Oryctolagus cuniculus: one gene and its partner. The protein of the gene in region 2 interacts with the protein of the main gene of each other region in a biochemical or structural test. Links are inferred from orthologs where the notes say so. Each region holds a gene or a part of one and is shown on either strand. Other genes may lie near its edges.

Evidence for each region.
Region 1: the proteins of SLX4 (region 2) and EME1 form a complex in vitro, tested with the Homo sapiens proteins (3 studies listed by BioGRID, with this or other methods). The link is inferred for Oryctolagus cuniculus from reciprocal best matches to the Homo sapiens genes SLX4 and EME1.

What each region holds. Positions count from the first base shown.
Region 1 is NC_091448.1:26,293,609-26,297,514, forward strand, and holds the start of EME1 (crossover junction endonuclease EME1), read left to right. Parts: upstream 1-1,528; 5' UTR 1,529-1,633; intron 1,634-1,757; exon of another isoform or gene 1,758-1,881; intron 1,882-2,304; exon of another isoform or gene 2,305-2,328; intron 2,329-3,155; exon of another isoform or gene 3,156-3,267; intron 3,268-3,370; 5' UTR 3,371-3,396; coding exon 3,397-3,906. Other genes in the region: MRPL27 (large ribosomal subunit protein bL27m), read right to left, coding at 1,489-1,528. UniProt on the Homo sapiens protein: Non-catalytic subunit of the structure-specific, heterodimeric DNA endonuclease MUS81-EME1 which is involved in the maintenance of genome stability. In the complex, EME1 is required for DNA cleavage, participating in DNA recognition and bending.
Region 2 is NC_091450.1:31,901,681-31,905,486, reverse strand, and holds part of SLX4 (structure-specific endonuclease subunit SLX4), read right to left. Parts: intron 3,354-3,806; coding exon 3,157-3,353; intron 3,058-3,156; coding exon 2,741-3,057; intron 2,246-2,740; coding exon 2,023-2,245; intron 1,854-2,022; coding exon 1,830-1,853; intron 1,633-1,829; coding exon 1,547-1,632; intron 683-1,546; coding exon 536-682; intron 1-535. UniProt on the Homo sapiens protein: Regulatory subunit that interacts with and increases the activity of different structure-specific endonucleases.

The DNA of each region.
Region 1 (3,906 bases), on a different chromosome or scaffold from region 2:
GGAAAACAGCAGAAGATGGCCCAAGTGCTTGGGCCCTTGCACCCATGTGGGAGACCAGGAAGAAGTTCCTGGCTACTGGCTTCAGCCTGGCCCAGACCTGGTCATGGCAGCCATTTGGGGAGTGAACCAGCGGGTAGAAGATCTCTTTCTCTCTGTAGCTCTGCCTTTCAAATAAATAAAATAAATCATAAAAAAAAAAAACAAAACTTTAAACATCCATTCATTTACTTAACTTGGGAACTGGCCTTTTGCTTTTTCTATATTATCTCATTCACAAATCTTCGCTCTTAACCCGTACTTCCCATCCTCTTCCTCAACATAAATCACTCCACAATCTACCCAGCTGCTCAGAGACCAAGGAGTCCCTGCAGGCTTCCTCCACATATCCAGTGCACCGGCAGCTCTGGATCTCAAGTCCACTCATTTCCTCCAAGTTCAGGGCCACCACCATCTTGGCTAAACCATCTCTCAACATATGACAGCTTCCCATCTGGTTACCTCATTTCTACCAAAACTCCCTTAGTTACATAAACACAATAGTTTCTCAGAATGTGAAACTGGGGGCCAGTGTTGTGTCCAAGTGGGTAAAGCTGCCATCTGCAATGCCTGCATCCTATATGGGTGCCATCCGGCCGCTCCACTTCTGATCCAGCTCCCTGCTCATGGCCTAGGAAAGCAGTGAAGGATGGTCCAGGTATTTGGGCCCCTGTCACCCAGGCTCCTGGCTTCAGCCTGGCTCAGCCCTGGCCATTGTGGCCATGTGTGGAGTGAACCAGTGGATGGAAGATCTTGCTCTCTGTTAACTCTTTCAAAATAAGTAAAAATAAATCCTTAACAAATATGTAAAGCTGGATCAAGTCATTCTCTGGTTCCTACAGGTCTCGGCCTTTTAGGTCTTTAGGTGTTATCAGCTGCTAGGGCCTTCCTGACCAATGTAAAACACACACACACACACACAAACACGTTCTTAGCACCGATCACAATTTACAACTGTCATATATATGTATGCTTATTTACCGGCTAGATAAATAAAAAATGAAAACTAGAAAGGGCCATCGGGAGGGTGGAGACCATGTCTTCACGTTTTCCGCTGGTACTTCGAACACCCACCGGTGTCCGGCACCAAATTAGATCTCAACATGTTGAATGAACAGATGAACGTTCTGAAGTCCAACGTGTCAATATTACTGCTCCTTCTTACACATGAAGGGATCCACGCAAGCCCAGCGAGGCAATGCGGCGTGCCCACGTCACCAACAGCCAGAGAAGCGAGAAATCCACACGCAGGGGAGGGCCGAATGCTCCCCAGATACTCCCCAAGCCCGCGGCTCCGCCCAAGATACGGCACGTGACCGGCCACCGCCGCCACTCCAACCGGGCGTGCCACAGAACTCCCCAATCCCGCACCCAGGGACCTCCGCGGGGGCTGGCTGCCACCTCCCGGGTCCCCTGCCAGATCTCTCCGCAACGACTACATTGTCCCATTACCGGCCGCCCGCGTCCTCAGGGCCAGCGCCGCCGACGCCATGTTTGCCTTACAATCGCTTCCGGTCTCGAAAGGCTGCTTCCGCTACCGGGAGATCTACTTCCGGGTCCGGTGCGGCGGTTGAATGAGTGGCGCGAGGAGGTACAGGTGAGCGTCCGGGGTGTCGGACTTCACCGGCCAAGGCTGTCTTCCAGAGCGCCGCTGCGCGGGAGCTTGGTGGCCAGGGCGTCGGGGTCCTCCGCCCTGACGGCTGACCTGGGAGGCGCGGAGCGTGCCGGGCAGGGGTCTGCTTCTCCGAGTGGCTCATTTTGCAGGAGTCAACCGAGATCCCGCTGCGGGACACGGATGAGACCCCCTCCCTTGTCTTTAAAGTGCCAGACACCGTCCTAAGCGCGGTAATGCGTTAATTCTCACGGCCTTACAAAGGCGGTATTGCTATCCCTGTTGTACCAAGGGAGAAACAGGCCGAGGATTAGCTGGCTCACCCAGGGTCAGTAAGTTTTTGTTCGAGAAAGGAGGCTTGCATATGACCCAGCTAGTCCAGTCCTCAGTTTATATGCAAGAGAATTGAAAATATGCCCACATAAAAACTTGTACCTCGATGTTCATAACCGCGTTATTCATAGTGACCAAAAATAGAAACAAACCAAACGCCCCTTAAGTGATGCATAAGCAAAATGTGGTAGAGCCACACGTTGGAATATTCAGCCATGAAAAGCAATAAAGTACTGGCCCATACTGCGACACAGATGAAACTCCCAAACATAAAAGGGAAAGAGCCACATAGTGTGTGATTCCTCTGGATATGCAGTATCCAGCATGGGCAGACCCATAGAGCCATGGTAAATCTGTGGTTGCCAGGGGCTGGGGGGAGGAGGATGGACGATGATAGCTTAATGACTTCTGAAGTCATAGAAATGTTCTGGCATTAGCAGTGGTAGTTGCACAACACTAAATATATTAAAACTGTTGGGCTGTACACTTAAAAAGATGAATTTTTTTGAAAGATTTATTTATTTGAGAAGTACAGTCACAGAGAGGCAGAAGCAGAGAGAAGTCTTCCATCTGTTGGTTCACTCCCTAAATGGCTGCAAAAGCCGGAGACAGGTTGATCTGAAGCCAGGAGCCTGGAGCTTCTTCTGGGTCTCCCATGCAGGACTTGGGCCATCCTCTGCTGCTTTCCCAGGCCATAGGAGAGAGCTGGATCGGAAGTGGAGCAGCTGGGACTCCAACCAGCACCCACATGGGATGCTGACACTGCAGACAGCAGCTTAAACTGCTAGGCCACAGCACCATTTCAAATGGAGAGGTCTAGAGGGTGGTGATGAGTGTTGTTACTATCCAGTGAAAATTATAATATTATCCCTGCTTTTTAAGATTTATTTATTTATTTGAAAGGCAGAGTTACAGAGAGGCAGAGAGAGAGAGAGAGAGAGAGGTCCTCTATCCGCTGGTCCACTTCCCAGATGGCAGCACAACCAGAGAGCTAGGCTGATCTGAAGCCAGGAGCTTCTGGGTCTCCCACACAGGTATAGGGGCCCAAGGACTTGGGCCACTTCTACTGCTTTCCTAGGCCACAGCAGAGAGCTGAGTTGGAATTGGAACAGCCAGGACTTGAAGCAGCACCCAATGGGATGCCAGCACTGCAGGTGGTGGCCCTATCTGCTATACTGCAGTGCCGGCCCCCCTACTTTATTTAAACCTCGCCTAGACAGAAAAGATTTGAGGAAGGCTCCTGTTAGACCACAGATGTTGCTGTTCGGGGTTCCAGACAGGATACGGTAGGGATGTCCTCTTTCTCTGCTCATATTTCAAAAAGCTTGGCTGTATCTAGTGTACAGAATTGGATGCTACAGTCTCTGTCACCTCTCTTTTCCCTTATAGGGAATTCATTCAAATAGCACGTGTTGATGGCTCTAAAGTCACCACTGTCACTAGAATCCAGTGGGAGTGAATCCGAAGAGTTACCCACGTTCGCCTTTCTGAAGAAGGAATCATTTTCAACCAAGAAGAGGCAGGAGAAGGTCATAGTGGTTGTCAGCTCAGATTCCGAGGGCTCCTGTCCACCATCACCAGAGCCAATAGGTCCATCCCCTGACCCAGACACAGAGGAGGCGCTCCCACACGCAGAGCCAGTCCCGGTACTGAGCAGTGGAAGTGAGGACGAAGAGGAGTTCATCCCCTTGGCCGAGAGACTCACATGTAAGTTTTTGACCCACAAGCAGCTGAGCCCTGAAGACTCAAGCTCTGCAATTAGAAGCGTCTTGGATCATGAGAGTAATGAAGGAGCATCCTGTGACCGGATCCCCAACATCCCTGCTGTCCTCCACGGATCCTCAGGGAGGAACGCACCGAGTGGCAGGGACCCTATCTTGGACAGCCCTTGCCGTCAGCCTGCAGCCTACCGCTCCTCGTGTCCC
Region 2 (3,806 bases):
GGTGCAGCAGTCTAAACATCTGCATCCCTGAGACAGAGTCCCATCTCTGCTCCTGACTCCAGCTTCCTACCAACGTGCACGCTGGGAGGCACGGTGGAGGCTCAAGTACTGGACTCCCTACCACCCGCGTGGGAGATCCGGCTTGAGCTCCAGCCTCCTGGCTCTGGCCTGGCTCAGCCCTAGCTACTGCAGGCATTTGGAGTAAGAAAGAGGATGGAAGATTCTCTCTCTCTCTCTCTCTCTCTGCCTTCCTAAATTTAAAAATTAAAAACAGGTAAGAAAAAAAGGTCAGTTTGGAACTCTGCAATTATGCAAATTGAAAAAAGAGGAAACCGTTCTGGGGACAGAGCGCCTTGGCCTTGATTCTGCAGCACAGAGCATGTCGGCCGCGCTGAGGCCACTCCTCACGCGGCAGCTAGCCTGACGTGCCTCTCTGTCCTCCCCAGACGGGACCCTGACAGCAACAGAGCAAAGACGCTCCCGTGCAGGGCGGAAGGGGCAGGAGCGGGGGAGCTGCCTGATGGCCGGTACTCACATGCTGAATGAGAAGTGGACATCGGGCGTAAAGCACAAACTTGTGGGCATAGAGCACCTCGCCGCTGTCCACCTGGAACTGGACGTCGCTCAGGTGCGGGTTGTTGACCATGGCGCTGAAGTCGGCAACCAGCAGCCCGATGGAGAGCTGAAGTGAGAGGCACAGCTGTCAGCACTGTCACCGTCTCGCGCTACTGCCACTCTGCTGACCGAGCAGCGCGGGGCGCCCCTGCTCAGGAAGGGGATGGGCTGTGCCGGGCTCTGCTTTGTATCACCACAGGCACTTGCAGTCGGGCAGTGAGGACACCAGCCCGGGTCTCAGATGCCCAGGCAGGGACCGGCCGGTGGGGAGAGGCAGCACAGCCCTGACAAGGACGAGCAGGCGGCATCCGTGGTTCTGGAGCGCGGGGTGAGCTACGCGTGCTGTAGGCCCAGTGCTCAGAGCAGCTTGGTGTGCTGGACCCAGGCCCCGCGTTCCAGCACTTCAGGGCCCACTGTCCACTGTGCACGTCGATGCCATCGCCCTGGCCCTGGTGTGGCAGTGTGGCTGAGGCCGGGATCCTCTGGGGATGCTGTCTACTCTCGGGAAAACCCAAGTGCTACCCCACTGGTCACCAACACAGGACGAGGGACCGTGGTAGGAGCCGAGCGCGGCCCCGGGGCCACACGGGAGGGTTGCCGTAAGTTGCTACGGCAGGAGCACGCAGAGCACACAGCGGAACGAGGGCCCCGCACAGAGAAGAGCGGCCCCCGGACTCCCACGACTACGCAGGCTTGGGGGTTCAGCCACTGCGGGCGCCCGCCGTGTTCCGAGACAAGCAACAAACAAGCCTTCACAGCAGGGCCCGGGGGCAGCCGGGCGGGGGGGGCTGCCGAGTCCGCCTGCTGGGAAGCAGAGCTGCTCCGTGACGCCAGTGGAAGTGGGGAGGCCCTGGGGACAGCAGGGAGTGGAGCTCCCCACAGCGGTCACAGCGCCAGGGAGGGGCTCACGTGGGAGACCCCCAGTCCTTACCGAAGCGTGGTCGCCCCGCTCCAGGTGCTTCTCCTTAGGCAGGACAAAGCCGGTCGGCGGGAGGCCGCGGGGCACCACATCCAGCCCTGAGAGGGGGTGGAGGTTGAGATAACGTCACGTCACCCTGACAATGTCGGCATCCAGCCGGCGGCACCCACCACAGGCCAGGCTGGACCCAAGATGCCTTGGGAGGAGCTGGCTGAGGACATGGCCATTTAAAGCAAGCCCCTGCCGCCGCCATTGCTACCACCGCCCCTCGCCGGAGGTTACAAGGATCACTCACCTGGGCAGCCAGCTCCGTCTTGGCCTAAAGTTGAAGGAAAATCGTGACAGACTTGTGTGTGCCACAGTCACCTCCGAGCAAAGCAAAAGCTGCTGGGCGCTGCACGTGCTCCTGCAGCAGGGGACACGCCGCCGAGCCTCGGGGCTTACACGAAGGCGCCCCCTTCCCTCCTGCGGCCCACCCAGTGTCTCACCTGTGGCCCCATCGGAGCTGGCCAGGTCCTCACTGCTGGGCCTCGGGCTGGCACTCAGCCCCTCCCGTGCCAGGTCCACGAGGTCCTGCAGGGCCTGGTGCTCCCTCTGGCTGGCCGATGACGACAGGTCCCCGGGGCTGCTGGGGAGAGCAGGTGGCCCCTCCAGACCTGACTCTGGCTGCTCAGGAGGCCTCGTAGGTCGTGGAGGCTCCTGGGTCAGGCCCTGCAAGAAGCGCGCAAGCCAGGGTAAGCACGTGGCTGCTGTCAGACACTGGCACGCAGCAGCCTCTACACATGCGCACGGCCAGACCCAGACTGCAGAGCGGGACCGGAAGTGTCCGTCACTGAGTAGCGACAGGCTGCTCTGAGTGGCCCATCCGTGCCTGTGGACAGCCAGGGGACCCCAGGAAGGCGAGAACTGACTCAGAGCCACCCGCGCGACTGTCTGGAACATGTATGCAGAATGTGGTTCCTGGGCGCCTGCTGTGATGACACCAGCCCCACGGGAGTAGGGCCTGGGACTCGGTGTCCTAAACACTCTCGGGGAAGCCGAGGCTCTGCCCTGTCCTCACCCGCAGAGCCGTGTGGCTGCCACAGAGAGCGCCTCAGCCGAGCCCTGCCCCCCACCGCTCATGCTGTCTGTGGCCCGGCGCTGGTGTCGGAGCTGCAGCTCTGTCCGCAGAGCCCGTGCGCGCGTGTCTGGAGGAGCAGGGCTCACCTCGGCAGGCCGCTGGGGCACGATGGGAGGGACGAGGCTGGCCGTGTAGAAGGCGTCCACGGCCCAGGCTCCGGTCAGGGCGCTGCCCTCCCACAGGAAGTTCTGCTTCCCTTCCGGCGGCTGCAGGCACCAGCCTGCCTTTCTCAGCTTTTCCTTCAGAATCCTGCTGGCGGGAAGCGGCGGCGTGCGGGACAGCGGCGCCTCCTCTGACAGCAGCAGGGCCACGCGGTCCTCTATCTGCCTGCCTGTGGTCACGCGGTCCTGGACGAGCAACTGCGGGGGCGACACCGGGGGCTTCCTCTTGCGACCTTTCTTCTCTAGAGACACACGGAAGCGACGCGGTCAGCCGTGGACTCAGCAACAAGCTGCGTAAGCCACAGCTCCGGCCACACCCACCTGCTCCCGGCCACACCCACCTCTCCTCGCGGAGAAAGCACTCCGCAGTCTGAGCGCAGGCGTGGCAGGGCCCTGCTCCATCTCGGAGCGGGACAGAGCCATGGCCACCAGCAGGTCCTCGGACGGTGCCTCGGGCGGGCCGGCCTTCCTTCTCTTCTGGGGCTCCTTCTTGTTCAAGGTTCCTTTCCGTTTCACACCTCCAGTGGGGCTGCTAAAGCTAAAAGACAGCCCAAGGGAAGTTAGTCACGGCCACGGGTGCCCACATTTGTGAGGCCGGGGGCTGCTCTCCTTTGTGGGGGTGAGAGAAAAGGGATGAACGGGGACCCTTCAGACAGAGGCATCCACTGCCTTGGCCTTCAGTGAGCTGATTCTGCCGTCTGTGAGCTCTCTGACGCAGGCCGAGGGTTCAGCCAGTCCAGACAGGACAGGGTCTTTCCATGTGGTACTGCCCAGCAGGTTCCCGGCACAGGTACTGCACACCCCAGGGGTGGCCAGACCTGGTGGAGTCAACACTTCCTGGCTCCAAGCTGGCTCGCGGGACCTGCCATCACCTTCTGCCCATTCATGCCTCAGGTGCCCAGGGCCAGTCCTGAATTTAGCGCAAGTCCTACCGTTCGAGTGTGCTTGTGCTAAATGCAGCACAGGAACCCAGCGCAGCTGTTCTGTGTGA